Linked DNA regions of Mytilus edulis. Each later gene encodes a partner of the first gene's protein in a complex. Links are inferred from orthologs where the notes say so. Each region holds a gene or a part of one and is shown in the gene's direction. Other genes may lie near its edges.

Region 1 (7,754 bases):
TTCCCAGTATTACCCACTGGGCTGGGCAATACTCATAAAACCCGGGTTTTTGCCAACCCTGCTTTGGGACCAAAACCCCCAAAATCAATCCCAACCTTCCTTATGTGGTTAAACATTGTGATAAAATTTTATTGATTTCTATTTACTTATTATACTTATTAAGTCATTATCAGGAAACCATCTATCTCAGACACGCTGACAACGACAACAACGTGATACTAATATATGACCATTTTGTTTTAAATTTTTGGGGTCGTATAAAAAGGGGGAAAAGATGCCACAAAAATTTGGCCAAAAAGTAGAATTTGAAGTCATAACTATTCTGAAACTGTTTACATATTATCTTTCAATAAATACAATAAAAATCATACATGTATGTCTTTCATCTCATTTTTGTTGTAAAATTGTGACAAAAATTTCCTGAATACTCTTATCCTATTTGCCGATATATTTTTACATCCGATATTTGATTACACGATAAAATTAACATTAAACATATAGGGAAGGGTTTGATGTTTTGAACATGTGGAAATAATATTACAATAGCCGATATCCGATCAGTTGGAGTCTATTGCTGTATTGCATATTTAAAGCTACAATGAGCAGGCCATTCATTAGGAGGCGGTACCCGGTACTTTTACCCTCCTATGCTATTGACAAGTACCGCCTAAATGTAGGAATTTTTATATAAGATATTCATGGAATAAATTGAAAAGTATCACCTAGAAACGTGGAAAGCAGGGATCTCCATGGATGAAAATTGAACGATGGAGGAACTTTCACCATTACAAACCGTGTCTACGTTGTACAGTGTAGCGCGATCGGAAGTATTTTATCCCTCCATACAAGGAATGGTGAACATGCTAATTCATTGCTTATTTAAATTATACTAGAACACACCCGCGAAATCGCGGTCATTCAGAGCGTAGTTTAAAGTATGTAAAGTGTTTTTTGGAAGAATTTTGTAAAATATTGAATGACTGGAGAATTTCAGCAAAAGTATCATAAGTCATTATTTCCAAAATTCCCAATTTTTGGTTTTCTATCAATTTCAATATGAACATACATTTAGTATGTTATGAACATTTAAGTAAGGAGCCTGTAATTCAGTGGTTGTCGTTTGTTTATGTGTTACATATTCGTTTTTCGTTCATTTTTTGTGCACAAATAAGGCCCGTTGTTGAAGGTCGTACGGTGACCTATAGTTGTTAATTTCTGTGTCATATTGGTCTCTTGTGGAGAGCTGTCTCAACATGGCAATCATACCACATCTTCTTTTTTTTTTGTAATCAATGAAAAGATTTAATGACTGGAGAATTTTAGAAAAGGTATCAAAAGTTCACATGAATATTTTTAGCGATTATCTAGAGTTGTCTCAACATGGCAATTATACCACATCTTCTTTTTCTTTTGTAATCAATGAATTTTGTAAAAGATTTAATGACTGGAGAATTTTAGAAAAGGTATCAAAAGTTCACATGAATATTTATAGCGCTTATCTGTATATTATGAACATTCATTACAGTAACTATATAAATATAGTTTATTTACTTTCAATTCTAAGTTTACTAATCGATTCATGGTGGTCATTGGTATAGTAAACACACGTGAGTATACAGACCCTCTCTATTTATTATTATTATTTTTTAATAAACTCTGTGATCGCCGTAGATAGTAAACTTGAAAATGATAGCAGATAGAATTCTGAAAATACACTTTATTCTTTGTATATTTGTTCAAAGTACATGTATACAGAAAAACACAAACCGGAAGTCTAATCTGACTTAAAATTTCGTCCAATGACGGGACATTATCCGGATGCCTTTTTTCTCGTTTTTCTCCCAAAATAACTCAATCTGAATAATCATATGAATGGATGACAAATGCGACTATGCACTGTACCTATAGGACACAGAGGCGTGTTGATTAATTTATTGTGGAAAGAAGAGAAGCGACACCCAAAATGAGGTCTTCTCGTTTAATAGTATAGATGCAACTGGTATGACCCCTTAAATAGTAAACAATTGAAAGAAAAACAGTAGACAGAATACAGAGAGTCTCTATATATTAAAGTAGTATAATTGTAGTTTACATGTAGATAAACGCGAAAAATAATTGTCCTCTATAAGGAGGTATTATAATAGTTGTGGTTCTTGCGATCTAAACACCATGACATGGAGAACGATTTGATAGGCTTATTTATTTTTCATTTTTTGTTATCTATCATAAGATTGGTTGTGTTTGTGCATGTTTCAAACCGGAAGTCTTATCTATGACTAAAAGTCAGTCTGATGACGGAATCATATCCGGACTCCTTTTTTGTCGTTTTTCTCCCAAAATAACTCAATCTGAATAATCATAAGAATGGATGACAAATGCGACTATGCATGTTACCTATAGGACACAGAGGCATGATGATTGATTTATTGTGGAAGGAAGAGAAGCGACACCCAAAATGAGGTCTTCTCGTTTAATAGTATAGATTTATTTGAACTTTCATTATAGAATTAGAAGTATCAATATTTTCATTCATTGCCGTTTTTAACCATTCAAATGCCAAGTCTTCATGGTCCCCCCTTAGTCGAGAATGACCAAAAGCTGTCATGAAGGTCCCCATGTAGATTTCTTGTATTTTTGGTAATTGTTATGGGGGCTAAAAATCATATGATGTGGAGCTTATTTTTCATGGACACTGTCAAATTCAGAACCCATTACCGGTATGGCTGATTTGCAGCAACAAATTAACAAAACGGTTCGTACGGGTTATGTTAAGAGTTAAAGAGATTTGTAAAGCAAACGTTGACAAATGTTAAGGTTTTTAATGACTTTATCTGGCAAATTGATGCTGTGAAACATGCATCTTTCGAATCTGAATAGAAACCGGAAACGCGTATGTATCAATTTGATTGTAATAAACGAAATGAATTCTGAATTGCGATACGATATTTCTTCACAGGAAATATTTAAGTTTTTACTTTTAAACTTGTAATTCTAAATTGTTGTTACAGCAGTACTCGAGTTATTTACGATGAAATAATATTCACTGTTTTGCGTCTTATTTTGTACTTCTTAAAAAAGAGGGATGCTGATTGCGTAAGTCAAAATAAAGCATGTGTTCGACTTTTTAAACTGTTTTCTTTGTAACTGGATTATTAATTTATTTATTTAATCTAAATTATCATAATCATTTGCTGCAACTTAGTTGATTAATTCGACAAATGGATCGTCTATCCTCAGATAGTATTCTCCTGTCTGGTTTGTTGATCTACATGTACCTGTACAAGCTCAGTTACATTACAAGTGATTAGCGATCTTAATCCAGATATCCCTCAGGCGTTAGAACTGTATTGGATTATAACATAAAAAGCCTAAGGGTTATGCAATTACATGCATTTGATTATAATTGATAAAAAAATGGCGTCTGGCTACAAAAAAACGATGAAGTTTTGAAAGACGGCGGAAGACATTTTAACGATGGCGCAAGACAATATAACGATGGCGCGAGTCATTTGACAGTGGCGCAAGACATTTGAACGATGGTGGGGCGCCATCGTTAAACAGGCCATGGAGATCCTTGGGAAAGTACCAGTCGACATGAAAGATCATGAAACCCCTGAATGAGATTAAACCATGTAGTGTAGTGATTATTTGAACTTCTTGAAAAAGGTGATAATTAAAGAAAGACAACTCTTACTTCCAACCTTTGTGGACATACAATGTAATGTTAGTTTTTTTTTTTGTTACTCAATTTACTTGAATCAGTGATTTAGAAAATCACTTTTAAGTAAGTCCCTGACTGGTTAACAAGTTAAGTCTTCTTAAGACGCTGGATCGCATGTTTAAAGACAATACAAATATCAGTTGAAACAAATATAAAAGGTGAAAAGTATAACCGGTTTCACAAATATTTTTTTTAAATGATTTTGTATGCATACCCAATCAATAAAAAGACGATCAAAGCTACCAGAAAATAATTCGTCTGGTAATACAATAGATTGTTCAGAACTCTGTTCGCCCATTTCTCTGCGTCTTTGATGTTAGGAACTTGAAATCTAGCAGAGTCCAATACAAAATCACTCATGGAACGGAGAGGAGCAATCTGTACTTCAGCCATGCTGTCAATTTAGAGGCCGCTTGGAGCTTTAAAATATCAACACTGATACAAATGGTGAAATACATGTTATGTTTATTTTATTTTTGTACAAATATTTTTAAAAATAAATAAACAAAAGGCTTGAATTTTTTTTATTAAGCAAATATGAATATATATATTTTTTTAATTTGTTTGTTATGATATAAGCAACAATTTAAAAAACTATACACTTTGAGATTGTATCCATATAGAATCAAATACTGCACAACAAATTCTTGTACAGCATTTCAAATAACAAAACGCTACAACTTTTCAAAAATTAACAAAATGATAAAACGGTTCTCTTACAAAACATAACTACACAATAAATACTAGATCAAAATAAATATATTATGATAATTTTTATTTCAAATCAAGCTTAATTATAGTACTGGAACGCAACTGTATAGTGCCTAAATTTATGTACGTTGTGGTTAAATTTTGTTTCAATTTTTTTTATTAACTTTGTACTACTACTGATGACATCCGATGTAGCCACTTCTGAAATCGTGTGAGCTACTTGTCAATAATAGCATCCGAATGATATTAACGTTTGAAACACCTCGATCTTTGTTATGACATTCAAGAAAACAAGTAACAACAACCGGTAAAAGAATCATAAAAACAGAGAAAACGAAAAAACAGGTACATGTGAAATACGAAGCAGATATAGCTTTTTCTAGGGAACAAGATATCCTGTATTCTTTCCTAATCTGATATTTTCAGCTTTCTTTTCAAAGTTGCACCTATCTTTGATCTGGAATTAGCTATGTTGCTCTTAAGGGAATCCGGGTCCGTTCGCACCCATTCACGTTCGCACCCACTCATGTTCGCCCCTTTTCACTTTCGCACCCTACATGTTCGCACCCAAAGTCCGTTCGCACCCTACATGTTCGCGCCCAATTTTAATTAGTTTTGTGTTTAATAACTTTGTAATCAAGTTTTGGCAAGTACAATCTTTAGTCTTTAGTAAGTGTCCCAAATGACACTGTAAACACTTGTTTACGTTTCCTCTTTTGTAGTTTCTTCACATATCAGGGCGTAACTAGCCTCTTTTACAAGTGAGGCAAAACATTCGCCGAGCGTAGCGAGGCGAAAAATTTTTGGCTAGGAGTCGGGGGGGCGCTGAAGGCCCCCAGACGCTCTGAGAAAAATAATGCAAAATCGTGCATTCTGAGCTATTTTTTCAACAATATTCTGGTCTCATAGCAATAACAAAAAATCATTGTATTTTAAGACTTTCAGGTTTTAGGGATAACATTAAAAAAAGATCGATATATATATGATGAATAAAGCAAAAATCGTAATTCTCATAATCCTTAATACCGAATCTGTCTGTCTTGTATTGTACTTAGACTTTGGTGATTTTTTTATGACTAGATTTAAATATAGTGACAGTGCAGTATTATACTTTAAGTACTAGTACTGTTAAAGTCGACACTAGGGACCATCTTGATCTTGTTTTACGATTTTAATGATTCTTTTATTGTTGGAGACCATCCAGCAACTATCAAGATAAAGAACAGGAATTAAACTTTAACAATTGATCATTCGTATTTTTCTATACATTGACATTGTGTGCGATTAGGTTCCGTGCACGTGTACTCAATATTCCTTTTTTTCTCTTAAAAGAGTCTGAACATGACTTAATGCAAGGGTAACCCTTCAATGTAAAAGGTCATATGGCAATACATTGCTGTTGTTTTTTTTTCAATTTTTTTGATACCGTGGAATTGGTAACCATATTTCAATTTCAACCATGTCAGCTTTCTAGTTTTATCTACGAAAAAAGCCAGTTTTGTTCTCTTTGATTTCAAGTTCAATTCTCCATGCAGAAACAAAGATTCATTTCTGTGTCTTGTAGCATCATATATTCTTAAAATTTCTCGCACATTGTCTGGACATCGGTTGGCATGCAACATTGCAAAACTACACGTTTACAAATGAAATCAACACTCAGACTATAGTCATTAAGTAGGACAATAAATTAACAAAAGACAAACACGGGACATAGAAGTACACACAATAATAGACCATCAACTCTGATAACTAAACGTAAAATAGAAACATGGATCACGAAAAACATGAAGGGCTACACCAGATAGTGAAGAGAACTGGCTTCTTGCAAGACTGACACTTTCCGTCAAAACAATTTGACAATCTTTTTGTTTCAGGTTGTTTTTTTTTTGGTTTTTTTTTAAATTTCAAACATGAGGCATTTGCCTCATTTGCCTCAATGTAGTTACGGCCCTGCATATGTAATGTTCACTCATGTAATTAATTGAAATGGTGGCTGCTGCTTAAAAAATTTTGACTTAATTTTGATTTAGAATTATAGTGTTTTTTACTGTATAGTGTTTTTGAATCTACCAGACTCCGTTAAATAATTTTCCAGATGGCACAATATCTCATTTCGATTGTCTCTATTAATGTCTTCTTCATCGATTCCTAGAAAGGTGTCTAAATCCATATGTATATTTCCTGTTATGAAGTAAATAGATGTTCTCATCCTCTCTCTAGCCTCCTCATAGTTAGAACAATGTAAAAGGTAGTGTTCTACAGTTTCTGGCTCTCCACAGGAACAATTTTTGTCTGTTGATGGTATGATTTTGGATTTGTAATCATTTAGATCACAATAACCTGTTCTCAAACTAGTAATAATTGAAAACGACCATTTGGATGGTAAATCTTTTGGTATTTTTTGACAAACTTTTTGATGATAGTTATAATAATTTCTGCCACGTTGACTTGATTCCCATTGGTTCTGCCATTTTCTTAAAACACTTTCTCTTGCTGCACGTTTTATATCCTGCCTGGTTACTTCTGATGGTTCTTCAATTTTTATAGTTCTTATAAGTATTATTGTTTTCATTGTCTCAAAATAAAGTGAGACAGCATTTTTTTTTGTGTTAAATAAATCTTAATCATGTTTTGGATAGTGTATTGTGATAAAAATGATATTCCTTTCTAAATAAAGTGGGATTCTGTCAACGTTTAATTTTGTGTTGAATAACTCTTAATCATGTTTTGGTTAGTGTATTGCTGTAACTTTGTTTCATTGACTTGATTCAAAATGAAGTGAGATTCTGACTACGTTTTTTTTTTTTTGTGTGTGTTGAATAAATTTTATCATGTTTTGGTTATAATAGTGTATTGCTATATTTTATTGTTTCAGAATCTTCAATCTTTTACTCATACCAAGCTATAAATATATTCAGTATTTACACGAAAGCAATTAAAAACAACAATCTATGATTTTCCAATTATTCAACTGGAATTTGAATTAAAATTGGGCGTGAACGTGTAGAGAGCGAACGGACCTTGGGTGCGTACGTGCGAGGTGCGAACGTGTAGGGTGCGAAAGTATATTGGGCGCAAACGGACCTGATACCCTCCTAAGGTCTTTTTGATGATTTTTTATATTTGCGGACCATAGACTATGCCGGTGTCATATGGTATTTTGAACCCCATGGTAAATTGACCCCGGGGTCAAAATACCGCTATGGTAAATTGAACCCCCCCATGGTAAATTGAACCCCCCCTGTATGGAAAATTGAACCCCCATGGTAAATTGAACCCCCCTGTTTTTTTCATCCTAGATGAATATTAGAACATTTTACAT
Region 2 (7,490 bases), on another chromosome or scaffold:
ATAAAATCTAAAATTGATGCCGTCGGAGCTTAAAATACAATATTGTTATTTCCATTCTAATGAAACTGACAGAAAACAACGTTAAATCATTTATTTAAAATCTGTCATATGCCGTCTGCGCTTGCGCATACGTCCCATAGCATCAATTGTCAATTGATGCCATGTAAGAAAGTGATGTTATCCAATCAAAATGAAAGTTACAAACGTTGTTGCATTAGAATAATTGATTGATTGGTGGTGTTTTAATGCCATTACAGATCAACAAATCCTTTATGTAACATAAAGGATTTGCATACATGGCATACAAAGTATGAAGCATCCAGGTATTTTACCTTCATACTGATGCTGCTACAAGATAGTAATCCCCCTGTCTCTGATTCTGTGGCAATTAAGATTAATTGATTGATTGGTGGTGTTTTAACGCCATTTCAGATCAACAAATCCTTTATGTAACATGAAGGATTTGCATACATGGCATACAAAGTATGAAGCATCCAGGTATTTTACCTTCATACTGATGCTGCTACAAGATAGTAATCCCCCTGTCTCTGATTCTGTGGCAATTAAGATTAATTGATTGATTGTTGGTATTTTAACACCACTTTTAAGCGCCACTTTCGGACTCATTTGTGGCGTATAGGTGGAGAAAGCTGGAGTGCCTGAAGAAAACCACAGACCATCAAACAGAAAATCGACAATCCTCAATTAATGTTGGAATGATGTTACATGTAATGGTAAATTTTAATACATGATGGTAAAATGTACAATTTCTTTTAAACAATAAAAAATTGACTGATTTCAAGAAATCCAGTTAATTTTTTACCACAAAAATAAGGTAAGACCAAAAAAAAATATATGTCTGTTTAAGGTTACATCATCAAAATAAATAGGGTAGGTAGGTCGGTATTTCCATTTTATTATTTTTTATCATTTTATTTTTTACGCCATGATTTTGAGTTGTGTGGTCCGTCTTAAGGTGGTTTGAGTTGTCCATGGGCTCAGTTAACCTGTATTTTTAATGATTGAATTATTTCCTTTTGTTATTGTATGTATTGGTTGGAGAAAAAAAGGCGGCAAAGTTTTTATTTCATTACACGAGTTGCGAGTTTCCTTAACTTAAAACAGCTGTCATATTCAGAATTTCACGATTGTGAACATTGGGATGTACCAGGCAATTGATTAAATTTATTGGCAATCCTTACTTTGCTTTTGACACAAGTTCTATTAATTTTTCACTTTACGACGGAAATAAAATGGCTTAGGGTCGGTCGGGTAACTGTAAACAGAGTGAATTTTTTTTTTTGCCTAATGTATGTATGTACTCGAGATTCCGCCAATTTAGACGCACCCCTTGATTGACTGCAAGGGTACAGCGGATCCATGTAAATTCCCTAAGGATTAATGGAGATGTGTCCTTTACAATATTATCCCACCACCAGAACAATCCCCACCCAACACCGCCCAAGGGAGCGTGTAGGACACCGGGAAGTCTGTTATTATGGTGAAGGAAGCTGAAGTACTCGAAGAGAACCACCGGGCCACTCAGTGGAAACAGACAAACCAGAGAGATATCAGAAGATTGATCTCCAGGTCAAAGTAGGGGACAACTTTGACCAACCGAGGCCCCCAAAGTACCCATTCTAGTTTAAACTCCGGTGTGGGTACCAGAGATGTGTGTGAGAGGGTGAAAATTACCCTTCTGATGTACTGATATTTTTAGCACCCCGAGTGAGAATTGAACTCGGGACCTTCAGCACTGTAGCCATCGGTCTTAACCACTAGACCACGAACTCACACATGAGATTTTACCAAATCCTTGGTATGTTCGAATTTAGAATACTGCTCTTCAGTTTGGTCACCTCACACCCAAAAACAAAAAAACAACATTGAAAAAGTACAAAGAAGGGCAGCATGCTACGTCACCAACAGGTACCCCAACACCAGTAGTGTAACTTCCATGATTGACCATCTTCAATGGAAGTCATTTGAAACTCGCAGACACATCAAGCGAGTAACTATGCTGTACAAAATCTCACACCATCTCATTGCAGTAGATCCAAACTTTTACCTTTTACCACAGCCAGTCAATAACACCACATTCACTAATTCATTACAATACATGTACCAAACATTTAGCACAAGAACAGATTACTTGAAGTACAGCTTTTTTCCATTCACAGTTGTACTTTAGAACTCACTTCCAGGGGTAGAAATAAGAAAAGACCATTGACTTGCAAGTCAATATGTATATTAACTTGCCCTTGTATCTGTTAACTTGCCCGACTAACGAGCATAGCTCGGCGCACTTACGGCGAGGGGTCTGGGGTAAATGGTGCCAAATCCTGCATTCTAGACCTCTCCTGGCAGATGATTTCAAGTTTCTATACACCCTTTTTTAAACAAAAACTTTTACTTTTACAAAAAAAAGTGACAAAAAAATTTCAGATGTACATGTAGAAACTGACCCAATTGTCAAATTTCCTGTAAAAAATATGCTTCATTCTAAACAATGCAATTATAATTTATTTTACATTTTACAGCAATACTATAAGAGCTTGTTTCTACATTGAATGAATTTGAAACCTTTAATTTTGTAAAGAGAGTCAGCCTGTTGAAGACCTTGTGGTGACCTCTGAATGTTTGCTGCTGTTGTTGTTCCTAGTGAATTAGGTGCATCTGGTCTTTAATACTCTTTATGTAACTAACTGACAAATTCAAATAACAATAGGTAATTGTTCACTGCAGAAATGAGCACATTTAGTATGCTCAGCTATAAAGGTAAAGAATTTAAGATAGAAGTGGATGAGAATATTTTAATTTAATTATGTATGTCTGACTTTTCGTGAGCATGTATATTGTCCTTTTTATAATTTGTACATCCTATTACAAAACTGCCACTACTTCCAAACTGAACGCAAACCTCACATGTCATCCCCTTTTCTGTGTCTTTCAGCCATTTAAATTCATCCAGCCATTTTGTTAAAAATTTACGTTTTCTTTTTCCCTCTTCATATTTTTTTTGTTGCTCAACCCTGTTGACGTTGGATTCTTTAAGTTTTTTTAAAGGGGGGACATAATTTACTAAAAAGTTTTCCATTTGTTTCTTTCTACTTTCATTTTTAAATCAACTCAAAAGTCGTTTGCAAAACGCGTTCTGATTGGATCATTGTATCGACTTCCTTTCACAATTAGTAGCGGAAATCCCCGAGCAGGTGCGACTGAACATTCTAAAACGACGGCGCTCATTGGCTTACGCATAGGAATTGACCAATAGAATTATTCGGGACAAACTACGATGTTTACGATTTTCCTGGCATGCGCATATGAAATAAATAAAGAGGGCGAAAATAGTAATACAATAATACACAGTTGTACATCGTACAAAATTACGTCTGACATAGTTATACAAATATTTTATTGGCACAAATTCATTAACAATAAATGGTTAAGACCTATTGCATATATTATTATATTAATTGACATGATAGAATGAAACGCAAACACAAAATTTCAACTTGCCCGGCGGACAACTATGTGATGAGATTCACTTGCCCGCTGCAGATTTTACTTGCCTCGGGCAAATGGGATAGCGCTTATTTCGAACCCTGCACTTCCACAAAACGTTATCAGTGTTAACTCCCTGGATCAGTTTAAAATACTGATCCAGAGACTGGCAGAGTCAGTATATTTAGATATCCATGAACCTGTTTGTAAATATGTAAATGTGTTAATTTGTTTTGTTTTTGCACAAAATTATTTTTTAATTATTGCATTCATTAGTTATTATATTTTATTAAGTGCATGTCTGTTTACAATTCGCCGACGTATAGTCATCAATGTGCTGATGGATCGTCGTAAATGTAGATGTAGTTTGAAATGTCTAAGGAATCTCGATATTTAGGATATTCTGACATCAATTTGAAGCTAACGGTAGCCAAAAATAACCTTTGACGCTGGAGTGTAGAGTCAATTCCTACCTCAATCAAACTTTACTCACTAAATTATTTACTGTTATAGTGTTACCAGGTTAAAATAACAGAAATTTACATGTTCATAAAACTTGATCGGCTAATCTTTGAAAGGTAAAGATTACTTATTTTAAAACATTGTGGTCTGATTAATTGTTTTATTTAACAAAACATGAATGACATTTGCGTCGTAATTCTCTAGCAAGGAAATAGTAGTAACAAAATAGGTTTACCTTTCGCTGCCAAGGAAGGAATGAAGTTTACCGGAAGTCGGTGTAAAAGTCAAAATTTAGAATATAATTTGTCTTCGGATATTTTTTATTTTTTATTTGACAAATAGGAAAAATGTACGAATTATTTTTAATTTGAAGCCTGTCAGTATTTTTTTTATCTTTCGCCAATAAGATAATCATACGAAATTTTAAGCGGAAGTGCTTTATTACGCACTGGGTACTTTCACAATAAAAAAAAAAAACAGAAGACCAAAATGATTAAGTTGTTTTCACTAAAACAGGCGAAAAAAGACGGTACCGATGGTGGAGAAAAATCAGGAACACAGAAAAAAGCATCAGCTGCACAGTTGAGAATACAGAAAGGTGAAATCAGAAATAGTGTCTGAGAAATTCAACGAATTTATCACATTCCATTGATTTGAGTAATGCCATAAAGAGGGAATTAAAGTCATTTTGTACCCTTAACCTTTCGTACTCCCATTTCTTACCCTGACAGAAACCACTTAGTACCCTGACCATTTTGGTATTTCATGGAATAATATGAGGCAGGCATAACCTGTGAATGGGGACGAAGTCTGTATGTATTATTTTTTTTTTTTACCTCAAACATGTTAATAAAGGAAACTGAAATACCGTAACGTTCCCGATTTCGGTTCTGTGGTTAGGGATTTAGCTGTGACGTTGTTTAAGTTATGACGTCATATTCAATGTAAACAAAAGAAACGCTTCCATCAGGTAACGTTTTTTTCAAATCAAACTGTATTCTGTATTCTGTAGGTGTCGCTGTTGACACTGGATTGTCTCCCTTGTAATTATTTAAATCTCGCGTGTATTAATATTTCACTCTGGTAAACAACTCACTTGTACTTTAAAATACATACTATTAGGTGGCAACTGTGCTTAACATATTTTTTCCAAAAATTAAAAAATATATCTACATTTATTAATTAACATGAAAATTTAAAGGAAAAGAAAGAAAAAAAAAATAAAAAAAATCTAACATTACATTAATCAAACCGGCGCGACTCGCAAATAAAGTCACCCAACAATCGCATTAGTGTTTCATTAGAGACGGAGACATTGTCGTTTTTTTCTATTGACAATAAAAGTTCCAAATCAATATGTAACGATCCTGTGTTGAAGTATATCTCATGTATAAGTTTCTGTCTTGCCTCTTCATAATTTTCACAAAATAGTAAATAATGTTCCACAGTTTCTAATTGACCGCATTCACACTTTGGGTCTATATTTTGATTGATTTTGTTTTGATAATTTTTTAGGTAGTATCCGGATCTTAAATTTCTAATAATTTTTGCTGTTTTGTGATCTGGATAATTAAATGTCGATTTATTGCTGACAGTCTGATGAAAGTTATAATAAAATCTTCCTGTATCACTATTATCCCATCTATGTTGCCACTTTTTATTTACTAAAATTCTTGCTGCTGTTTTAATATCTTGTTTAGTTACTGTAATATGGGCTTCTTTCTGAATTTGATTTGCCTCTTTAGCTGCCTCTTTAGCTAGTTTATCAGCTATTTCATTTCCTCTAACATCTGCATGTCCTGGGGTCCAATCAAAATTAATTCTTATTCCATGGTGTTTTTGGATACATTTAATAAGGGAAATAATTTCATGTGAAGTGGATCTGTTATTTTCAATTTTCCAATTTAATGTTAAGATTCCAATTGCTGTTTGACTGTCCGAAAATATTTTTACTTCTTCAATTAATGTTTTGTTTTCAATTCTGCTTACATAATCTAATACTAATTTAAAATCAATAATAATAAAATCAAACAATTATTAAAAATGAAATTGTATTGAGTTCCAATCTTATATTTTACTAGACTGATACATATAATTTTCTTTTCAAAGTCTCATGCAAACAAGACAGATTTCTGCGCAAAGCGGGGAAAACCGGAACAGGAACTAGATCTGAAAAAAAAAGTTAACGATTTTGAGTTCATTAGTAGAATGAAAAATTCGGGAAATTTTCCCGATTTTTTTTTTTTTTTTTTTTTAATAATTGATTTTTCTACCGTAATTGGGGACTTCGTCCCCATATTAACATTTCTCTAATTTTTGTGCTATTTTGATCGGTGTGAGAAAAATATTTTTCCTCACTAGTGAGATATCCGTTTTCGGTAAATGATAAGTCGAAATGTGATTATGATGTCAAAATGTTTTGTTTTCTTCTGAATTTTTCTATTATGACGTCAGGAAAAAAAGTGACCATGCATGATGACGTTGCATATGAAGACATCTCCAAAACATCAACAAGAATTAAACAGATGTACAAACAAGGTTCAAATGTCCAAGAAATGAGTGACACGTTCAAGAAAGAACTATTCCAAAGCATGGACAAACATATACCAGCCAAAGAATCCGCTCAAAAAACAGCCTTCCCTGGATAACACTCAAAATAAGGAAAATGTTCAAAAAGAAAAGCTGATTATACCAACATTGCAACAAGCTAAAAGAACAAAAAAATGGTCAAATTACAAAAAGAAATCAAAAGCCAAATAAGAAAAGCTGAATGGTCATATATCAACAACACCATACTAAAGGGCCTAGAATCAAACAACACCAAGCCATTCCAGAAATACAACAAATCCAGAAAAAATGACAACATTTGAGCATGTTGAGTAGCCCCATCAAAAAACAAAGGGAAACTCATCAGCGACAGTAAAGGGAAAGCTGAAATACTAATACAGCTATTCAAATCAGTTTTCACAATAGATAAAGCCACAACAATACCAGACACAACAAAGCATATTAAGGAAACCATACCAAACCTCATAATAACAGAAAAGGGACTAGAAAAACTGCTAAAAGATGTCAACCCATCAAAAGCTTCTGTACCGGATGGATTCTCAAACAGAATTTTGAAAGAATGTGCAAGTCAAATTACACCAGAACTGACAGCAATCTTCCAAAAATCTATAGACACTGCAACCCTTCCTCAAGACTGGCTAAACGCAAACATACATGTATCATGCGTTTAAAAAAAAAGGCGATAAACACGCTGCTGAAAATTACAGACCTGTATCGTTGACATCAGTACCATGTAAGATCCTGGAACATATAATATGCAGGCATATAATGAAACATCTAGAAAAGCATACTGTGTTAACATCTTTAAACCATGGTTTTAGATCAGGTTACTTATGCGAAACCCAAGTACTTCAAACCTATATTGCCATACTAAACTTCTCAAAAGCTTTTGACACAGTACCCCATAAGAAACTGCTATCAAAAATGGCCGCTTATGGAATCCGTGGGCCAATAAT
Region 3 (7,271 bases), on another chromosome or scaffold:
AAATGCTTCGTTGGGCCCTTTTTGGTCCCTAATTTCTTAACTGTTGGGATCAAAACTCCAAAAATCAATCACAAACTTCATTTTGTGGTCATTAACTTGTGTTTAAATTTCATAGTTTTCTATTTACTTAAACTAAAGTTATAGTGCGAAAACCAATGTCATACCAATATACGACCGCAATTTTTTGTATATACGACCGCAAAAATTATTTGCTGTCGAATAAAAAGGATACAAAATATTCAGCATTTTTACAATTAAAAAGGGGCATAACTTTATCTAAATTTAACTGTTTTGCGGTAACAAGCATTGTCTATAAGATTTATAACATTTAGTCGAGGAAAACTTTTAAAGTTGTTGAACGGAAATGAAAAAGGAAAAAGTCCGGTAAGGGCTTATTTTGGACAAAAATTCGAAGTAGGTCTGATGAAAGATTGTTTTACATTTTTCAAACACTTTTAAGTGTCTTCTAAATTCGATTCAATTGGTTATTGTAAAAGATTTGGACATACTTGGTCATAATATGCTCAAATTTAAGCTTGAATAAGAAAAATCCATCAAATATGCCATTTAACCTCACCTTCAGACGATTTTTGTTTAAAGTGGAAGTTCATTCGTGTTATCCCTCAACATTTATATATGTTGTGTGTTAGCATTCAATATTATACAACATATATTTAAATATTAAGACTGAACACAAGTGCGACCACAAAAATAGTCTTAAAATTAACACAAATGTGTAAATTATGAAGTTGTTTGCATGGAATAATGACGCTAGTACCTACCGTGTGTCCATTATTATAAAAAACAGTATTTCACTTTCCAATAAATAAGTCATATTTTACAATTTAACAATTTTGTAAAAACGCTTGGAGCAAAAAGGTGTCTTATCGGGCCTACTCCTTTAGCACTGTTTCCGGTTGCAAGGGGTTTTGAGAACAGAAACCAATTTTGGGACGTATATGAATGAATACAGACAATGGTAAACATATAAAACATGTTATCAATTTGTGATATTTTTTATGTACAGATATAGTTTTTCATAATGTCATAACCTGCTGATATTATTATCATAAAATGATCTAATCATACCTGAAACTATATAAAAAGAAAACAAAATGTCTTAGATTCTTGGAGCACGTATGTTTTAGTGCACATGATCTTATTTCATACTCGTAATTATAAATAGAATACGCGTGTGCAAATAACTCAAACTGTGTGCCAAAAATAAAAATATGCCTATCCTTCTACATGAACATCATCAACATCGTTTTTAATAAAGTTATAGGTTAATAGCATAGGGTAAGCATGGTAAGGTATTCAACGTGAAAGATGATATGCCAGACTGACTTTTGCATTCTTACCTTTTTTTATTTTAGTTTCCACGAAGAAAAGGGGGTATTACAATGAAATAATGTACGATATCTTAATTTGATAGTTTGCAACATGATATAGAATTAGACACCAAATATCGAATAAATTTTAAAGCTGAAATATATATATCATTTATGAAATAAATTGATTAAGAAACTAAACTTACTATCTTCGCTGGAAATATTACACCGGTTGTAAAATGAATAAGATGGCGTGTGCCTCTTTCCGCTGCCAATAATGTAATGCTAATTATGGAGAGTAAAATGATCTGGGATTACCCCGTTGCGCACATCTGGAATCTGTATGACACCAGCGGGTTAACATGATAACTGTTTGCTTATCTTTCTTGCTGTGTCAATTAATAACAATAATCTTCGATGTTATTACAAAGGAATTATTCAACAGCCAATTGCAATTTTCGATGTATTTGTTTCACTCAAATCATGTAAAAATTATGTTTTAAAAATGGTTAAATTTAAAACTTAACAACCAAAAGAATTTTAGCTTTGGTTAAGATAGTCCTCATAGTCCTTCGTTTCCAGTTTTTTTAAAAGGGTTTGAAGTACAATAAACATTAAGCTTTAAAGAAAAAAAATCAATGTATCTCCTTTTCAGAGCCAAACAAATCGAACAAATCAATTTGTTTTCACTTTAAAATGTGATATTTCGAAATTTCTCCACAGAATTGTGTTTAAAAATCGGCAAAGTTCCTCTTCAATAATATGAACAGATTTTGGGATCAACACATTTGGTTGATATTTTTATAGAAATCAATAAGTCCCGATAATTTGAGGTGAAACAAGCGCGATGGGACAACTCCAAGGGCGATAGAGTAATAACATGACGGTTTGACGCAAAAAATTCTTGCATCACTCAAACAAAAAAAAAAAAAAAAAAAAAAAAACTAGTGATTATCAACTTATCTTTTATTACAATGCGCCTACTAATTCGCAGAAAATGAAATCAAGTAACAGTTTAGTTGTCTGCGAGTTATATCAGAGCATATATGTACACATATATGTCTCTGGTTAAATGATAAGTAATTTTTGGGATTTATTTTCTTTGCATTCAGTTTTTATACCCCACGCAACGAAGTTGCGGAGGGTATAATGTTTTTGACCCGTCCGTCCGTCCGTCCGTCCGTCAGTCCTGTTTCTTGTCATCGCAACTCCTCTCAAACCACACAACAGAATTTCACGAAACCTTTTCAGATAATAAGGACATACTATGTAGTTGTGCATATCGACAGGAAATTGCGATTAAATTTTTTTTCTGGGAGTTACGCCCCTTTGAACTTATTTACTTTAATGTACTACTGCAACAGTTTGTCATCGCAACTCCTCTCAAACCACACAACAGAATTTCACGAAACCTTTTCAGATAATAAGGACATACTATGTAGTTGTGCATATCGACAGGAAATTGCGATTCAATTTTTTTTCTGGGAGTTACGCCCCTTTGAACTTATTTACTTTAATGTACTACTGCAACAGTTTGTCATCGCAACTCCTCTCAAACCACACAACAGAATTTCACGAAACCTTTTCAGATAATAAGGACATACTATGTAGTTGTGCATATCGACAGGAAATTGCGATTCAATTTTTTTTCTAGGAGTTACGCCCCTTTGAACTTATTTACTTAATGTACTACTGCAACAGTTTGTCATCGCAACTCCTCTCAAACCACACAACAGAATTTCACGAAATCTTTTTATATGAAAAGGACATATTATGTAGTTGTGCATATCGACGGGAAATTACGATTCAATTTTATTTCTAGGAGTTACGCCCCTTTGAACTTATTTGCTTCAAGGTACTTCTGCAACAGTTTGTCATCTCAACTCCTCTGAAAAACACAACAGAATTTCATGAAATTTTGTAGATAATAAGGACATACTATGTAGATGTGTATATTGACAGGAAATTATTATTCAATATTTTTTCTTATACAATTTTTTTTTCTTATACTTATTTAATTTCTCCAATGACAATGTGGGGACGTGGGGTATGTGAGCGTGCTCACTAAGGTTCTTTAATTTTAAATGGAACGGCCCAATTTAATTTTTGGTGGGAGTGTGGCTGCATGGACTCGTAATACAAATGTACATGGTGGCCTGGTCTTGAAGAACTTATTTTTTTTTAATGTATTCAATAAAGGAATAACTATGAGAATAACTTAAGCATAGTGGGACGAGGCCGATTTGTATAGTCTTACAAAGTTCTATGAGACAAATTCATTTCGTGTGGTCAAGGATTTATTTATATACATGTAGTATATGTAGTATATGAAGAAAAAATAGAATATGGTTTCGTTTGGTTGAATCATTAATAAAAGTAAAAAAAACGAAATTATGATTCGTTTTAGCAGCTAATTTGGTTCAATTTTGTTAAATTACACAAAGAAATATCGCTGATGAATCACTTGCAAGTGAGTAAATCTACCTTTATAAACTCGTATGCATGTGACCTTCAATTTAACCCATTGGCTAGAGATTTGTTACAAATGCACAAGTTATGTTCATTCATTTAAAGGAAAAGAATGTCAACATTGAAAGTGAAACAAAGGTTAACCATTTCGTTGACTGATTCGATCCACACAAAATCATATTTTTTTTCGAGTAAAAACGATAAATAACATATTTGTTTATTTTACAACATGAAATCAAACAGACCTATAATATAAAATTGTATGAGGTCGGAATCTATTTATGTAATTGTTAATGTTTCGATAAACATGAATTTGTCAGCCAGTGCAACTTTAGGATAATTCATATCCGGAATGTCTGCATTATTGTTCCGTTAATGTTTAATTTTTAATTTTAATAACTGCATCCCTGTTTTTATTACGTTCCTGTCCCCTGCCGGTAATTGATCTCAGGAGAAACCAGAAAATGGCAGACACCAAAAAAGTTGTTATCGACAAGAAAAATAAATATGATAGGCAGTTGAGGTTAATATGTTAAATATAACTTAAGAAGAATGGTTGTACGAATAATATACTTTAAGTTTTAACTGTATAGTTTTCTGACATTTGATTAATTCATGTCAGAATGATACGGACGGACATGAGTATTTTATTCATCTTAGTTTCTTACTAATGTTTATGGAAGGAAATGATCATGATGATGTCTAGCTTTCAGAAGGCCAGTATCTCAAATGCAATAGCAATGTCTATAAAAATTAAATAAAATATACTATGAGACTTGGAAAGAGAGGGCTGAAAGAAAACATATAAAGTAAAGTTTGTTATAAAAATGCTGAGACACTCAGGCAGTACGAAAAAAACTTCAGAAGATTTATAACTTTCTTTGATGACATTCGCAGTGTACCATCAATATTCCATATCATCAGTTAAACATACTACCATTCCTTATAAAATTGAATTATCATACAGTCTGTGCCAAACTGTATGATGGTTTGTCTGACCGAAAAAGAAATTTGACATTTTCTGCTATATGTTCAACAGAAAAAAAATTTAATTTCTGTCTGACCGAATGATTTTTTGTCTGACATTTCTTCGGTCAGACCATGGAAGTAATATTTAAAAGGAATAACATCGAGTAATTAGCATGTATTAACGGCATGTAGAGCCCTGTACTAAAGTCATATGATTTTATCCAATTATAGTCTCAGCGGTAAGACCCCTTTGGTTACTATCTGTGATAACGGACGAGAATTGTTCAAACTACAGCAGTTTAACATGGAAAATTGTATTTAATTTAGCATATTTTTGCTTTTTTACCGTTTGTTTTAAACTGTTCTAAAAGTATTTTTCGGTTAAAAGCGGATCCTGAGTTAAACAGATAAAAACCGATGAATCGATCAGGTTTCACATGATGTTTATCAAAATAATGTAGGCAAATGTAGGCATAGATTTTTTTACTGTTGAAATGTGCAAAGTTAATCGAGATTGAATAAAAGAATATTTACTTTCAAGTATTCTAAATTTATGTATATGTCATAAATGTCATTGATTGCATTATTGAAACTGGACAACTAAAATGGGGATAATATTTTCGTAAATATATATTATTATGGAATGCTTGTATTAATATAATAAGCTAAACAGCAAAAATTATAACAAACCGACGAAATGAGCTTAAATCTATCTGTCTTACGGTAAATTAATTTTTACACAAATTAGTTTATGTATCAAGAACTTAAATTGAAGGATAGAACCGTTTAGAATTGTGAATATTTTAATTGACTATAAATACACGAAGGATTTTGATTTTTTCGTATTTAATAAAGGGGGTCCAAAGGTATTTTTTTTAAGCTGAGAATGTTTCTTTGATATTAACCTCATACCCAAGCTGTTTGGCCTTACATGTACTTTTAGATCTTACGGTCTTTTTGATTCTACAGAGTACAGTTACCAGGAACTCCAAACATTAACTTCTAAATTTTGTATTTAGCAAGCTACATTCATGTGTATACTTTAAATATTTGTTAAAATGTTAACATTGTATCACATGGGAGCAACCACTCAACTTCAAAGACCTGGGGTGTTATGGTTTCAGTGATCTGGAAGGATTTTTCTCAATGGGCCCAGGGCCCCCCCAAAAATAAATACAAAGGGCCATTTTTAGAATTAATGGGCCATGTTGTTTAAATGTTTCAAAACAAAGAGAAAAATATTGTGCGCCATGTGGGCGCTATTGTTTGTCACTCTATGTTAATACTAGAAACAGACCCATTCGCTCCTTCTGCACCCTTATTCAAACATTTAAACTGGATGAAAGTTGAATGCCAGAGAATAAAATATCATAAGTTAGTGATGACATTTAAGTGCATTAAAAATGATGCCCCATCATATCTTACTAACAAGTTTCATTATGTTTCAGACAGAAATCCATACCCCTTGAGAAATGCTGTTCATAATAATAGTCTTTTATTCAAAAGCAATACAGCTTATAGAATTTTCAAGGAAACCTCATACTCCCTAAACCAAAAACAGAATTGTTCAAAAAATCTTTTATGTATTCTGGATCATTCTTGTGGAATAATTTGCCAATACCGTTAAGAAATATTACAAATGTTAATTCTTTCAAATACAAAATAACAGATCATTTATTGAAATCAACCTAGGTGTATCAATAATATTAAAAACTAATCATGTCATCATGTTTATGTTTGTTCATCACATTTTATCAAGTTGTATTAAACATTATTATCATACTTGACTTTTTATTCTAATGTATGCAATGTATATGTTTGCATTTTGTTTGATTTCTCATGATGAGGGCCTCAGGGAAGATTAGTTATATAGCTAACTGTGTAACCCTCTTAAAATAAAGTATTGTTGTTGTTGTTGTTGTTATGTGCCATTTCTAGTCGATAAGCACAATTTGCGCATGGTGCACATCCTTCCCGATCACTGGGTTTTTATTCTTAGTCAGAATTGTTTATTGTGCAAAGGGGGATCAATTTTATTTAGTTTTACAATGCTATCAAGTTCAACCAGATTATTTTGTTCAATATTCTACATTCAGCATATTTTATTTAGTCATCTGCTTAAACAGAATACTTTTTTTCATCAAATTGGGGATAAGAATATTTTTTTGGAAGAAAAAAAACATACCCCCGTCCTCCCATCCCTGTTGAAGTTAAATGGTTGTTCTTTAAAAACATTTCTGGAAGTAAATTTCAGATTGTGGAGACTGCATAAATTTTAAAATTCTAATTTGTAATGTCAATTTGTGTGTGTTACCGTGGTTTGAATAAGATCTCTAATAAACATTCATAAACTTTTCCTTTTCCCAATTAATATATATTTTTTATTCGTAGATTATGGGGAGACCATGGACAGTCTGCCTTAGAGTCAGCATGTGTCTGTTTGGTCAATGTATCAGCTGTAGGAACAGAAATTCTTAAAAATATGATATTACCAGGTAAAGT

Evidence for each region.
Region 2: the proteins of NEDD8-activating enzyme E1 catalytic subunit-like (region 1) and NEDD8-conjugating enzyme Ubc12 are in contact, whole or in part, in a crystal structure (PDB 2NVU), measured with the Homo sapiens proteins. The link is inferred for Mytilus edulis from reciprocal best matches to the Homo sapiens genes UBA3 and UBE2M. Residues at the interface, in NP_003959.3 of Homo sapiens: His53, Pro54, Asp55, Glu61, Ser62, Phe65, Cys70, Gln149, Asn152, Asp153, Thr154, Arg157, Gln158, Phe159, His160, Ile170, Arg173, Trp174, Ser181, Leu182, Leu183, Asn184, Pro192, Ile195, Val196, Pro197, Leu214, Met217, Arg254, Met255; in NP_003960.1 of Homo sapiens: Lys3, Leu4, Phe5, Ser6, Leu7, Lys8, Gln9, Gln10, Lys11, Lys12, Glu15, Lys21, Gly22, Ser23, Ser24, Lys25, Lys26, Ala27, Gln31, Leu32, Gln35, Lys36, Ile38, Asn39, Glu40, Phe51, Ser52, Asp53, Pro54, Asp55.
Region 3: the proteins of NEDD8-activating enzyme E1 catalytic subunit-like (region 1) and NEDD8-activating enzyme E1 regulatory subunit-like are in contact, whole or in part, in a crystal structure (PDB 3DBR), measured with the Homo sapiens proteins. The link is inferred for Mytilus edulis from reciprocal best matches to the Homo sapiens genes UBA3 and NAE1. Residues at the interface, in NP_003959.3 of Homo sapiens: Trp34, Glu35, Gly36, Arg37, Trp38, Asn39, His40, Lys43, Phe44, Glu46, Arg47, Ser48, Gly49, Pro50, Phe51, Thr52, Phe56, Glu83, Lys86, Asn87, Leu90, Ser91, Val106, Ser107, Leu109, Asn110, Arg111, Phe113, Leu114, Arg116; in NP_003896.1 of Homo sapiens: Glu10, Gln11, Lys12, Tyr13, Asp14, Arg15, Gln16, Leu17, Arg18, Leu19, Trp20, Asp22, Glu44, Lys47, Asn48, Leu51, Pro52, Gly67, Glu68, Ala70, Gly71, Asn72, Asn73, Phe74, Phe75, Gln77, Arg78, Ile81, Phe92, Glu95.

Annotation. Positions count from the first base shown.
Region 1 is NC_092344.1:23,144,463-23,152,216, reverse strand, and holds the start of NEDD8-activating enzyme E1 catalytic subunit-like, read left to right. Parts: upstream 1-4,651; 5' UTR 4,652-4,777; intron 4,778-6,476; coding exon of another isoform or gene 6,477-7,004; intron 7,005-7,754. Other genes in the region: PRA1 family protein 2-like, read right to left, coding at 3,936-4,114; uncharacterized protein, read right to left, coding at 6,477-7,004. UniProt on the Homo sapiens protein: Catalytic subunit of the dimeric UBA3-NAE1 E1 enzyme. E1 activates NEDD8 by first adenylating its C-terminal glycine residue with ATP, thereafter linking this residue to the side chain of the catalytic cysteine, yielding a NEDD8-UBA3 thioester and free AMP.
Region 2 is NC_092350.1:42,401,571-42,409,060, forward strand, and holds the start of NEDD8-conjugating enzyme Ubc12, read left to right. Parts: upstream 1-4,388; 5' UTR 4,389-4,455; coding exon 4,456-4,564; intron 4,565-7,490.
Region 3 is NC_092348.1:12,789,690-12,796,960, reverse strand, and holds the start of NEDD8-activating enzyme E1 regulatory subunit-like, read left to right. Parts: upstream 1-4,217; 5' UTR 4,218-4,264; coding exon 4,265-4,323; intron 4,324-7,160; coding exon 7,161-7,264; intron 7,265-7,271. UniProt on the Homo sapiens protein: Regulatory subunit of the dimeric UBA3-NAE1 E1 enzyme. E1 activates NEDD8 by first adenylating its C-terminal glycine residue with ATP, thereafter linking this residue to the side chain of the catalytic cysteine, yielding a NEDD8-UBA3 thioester and free AMP.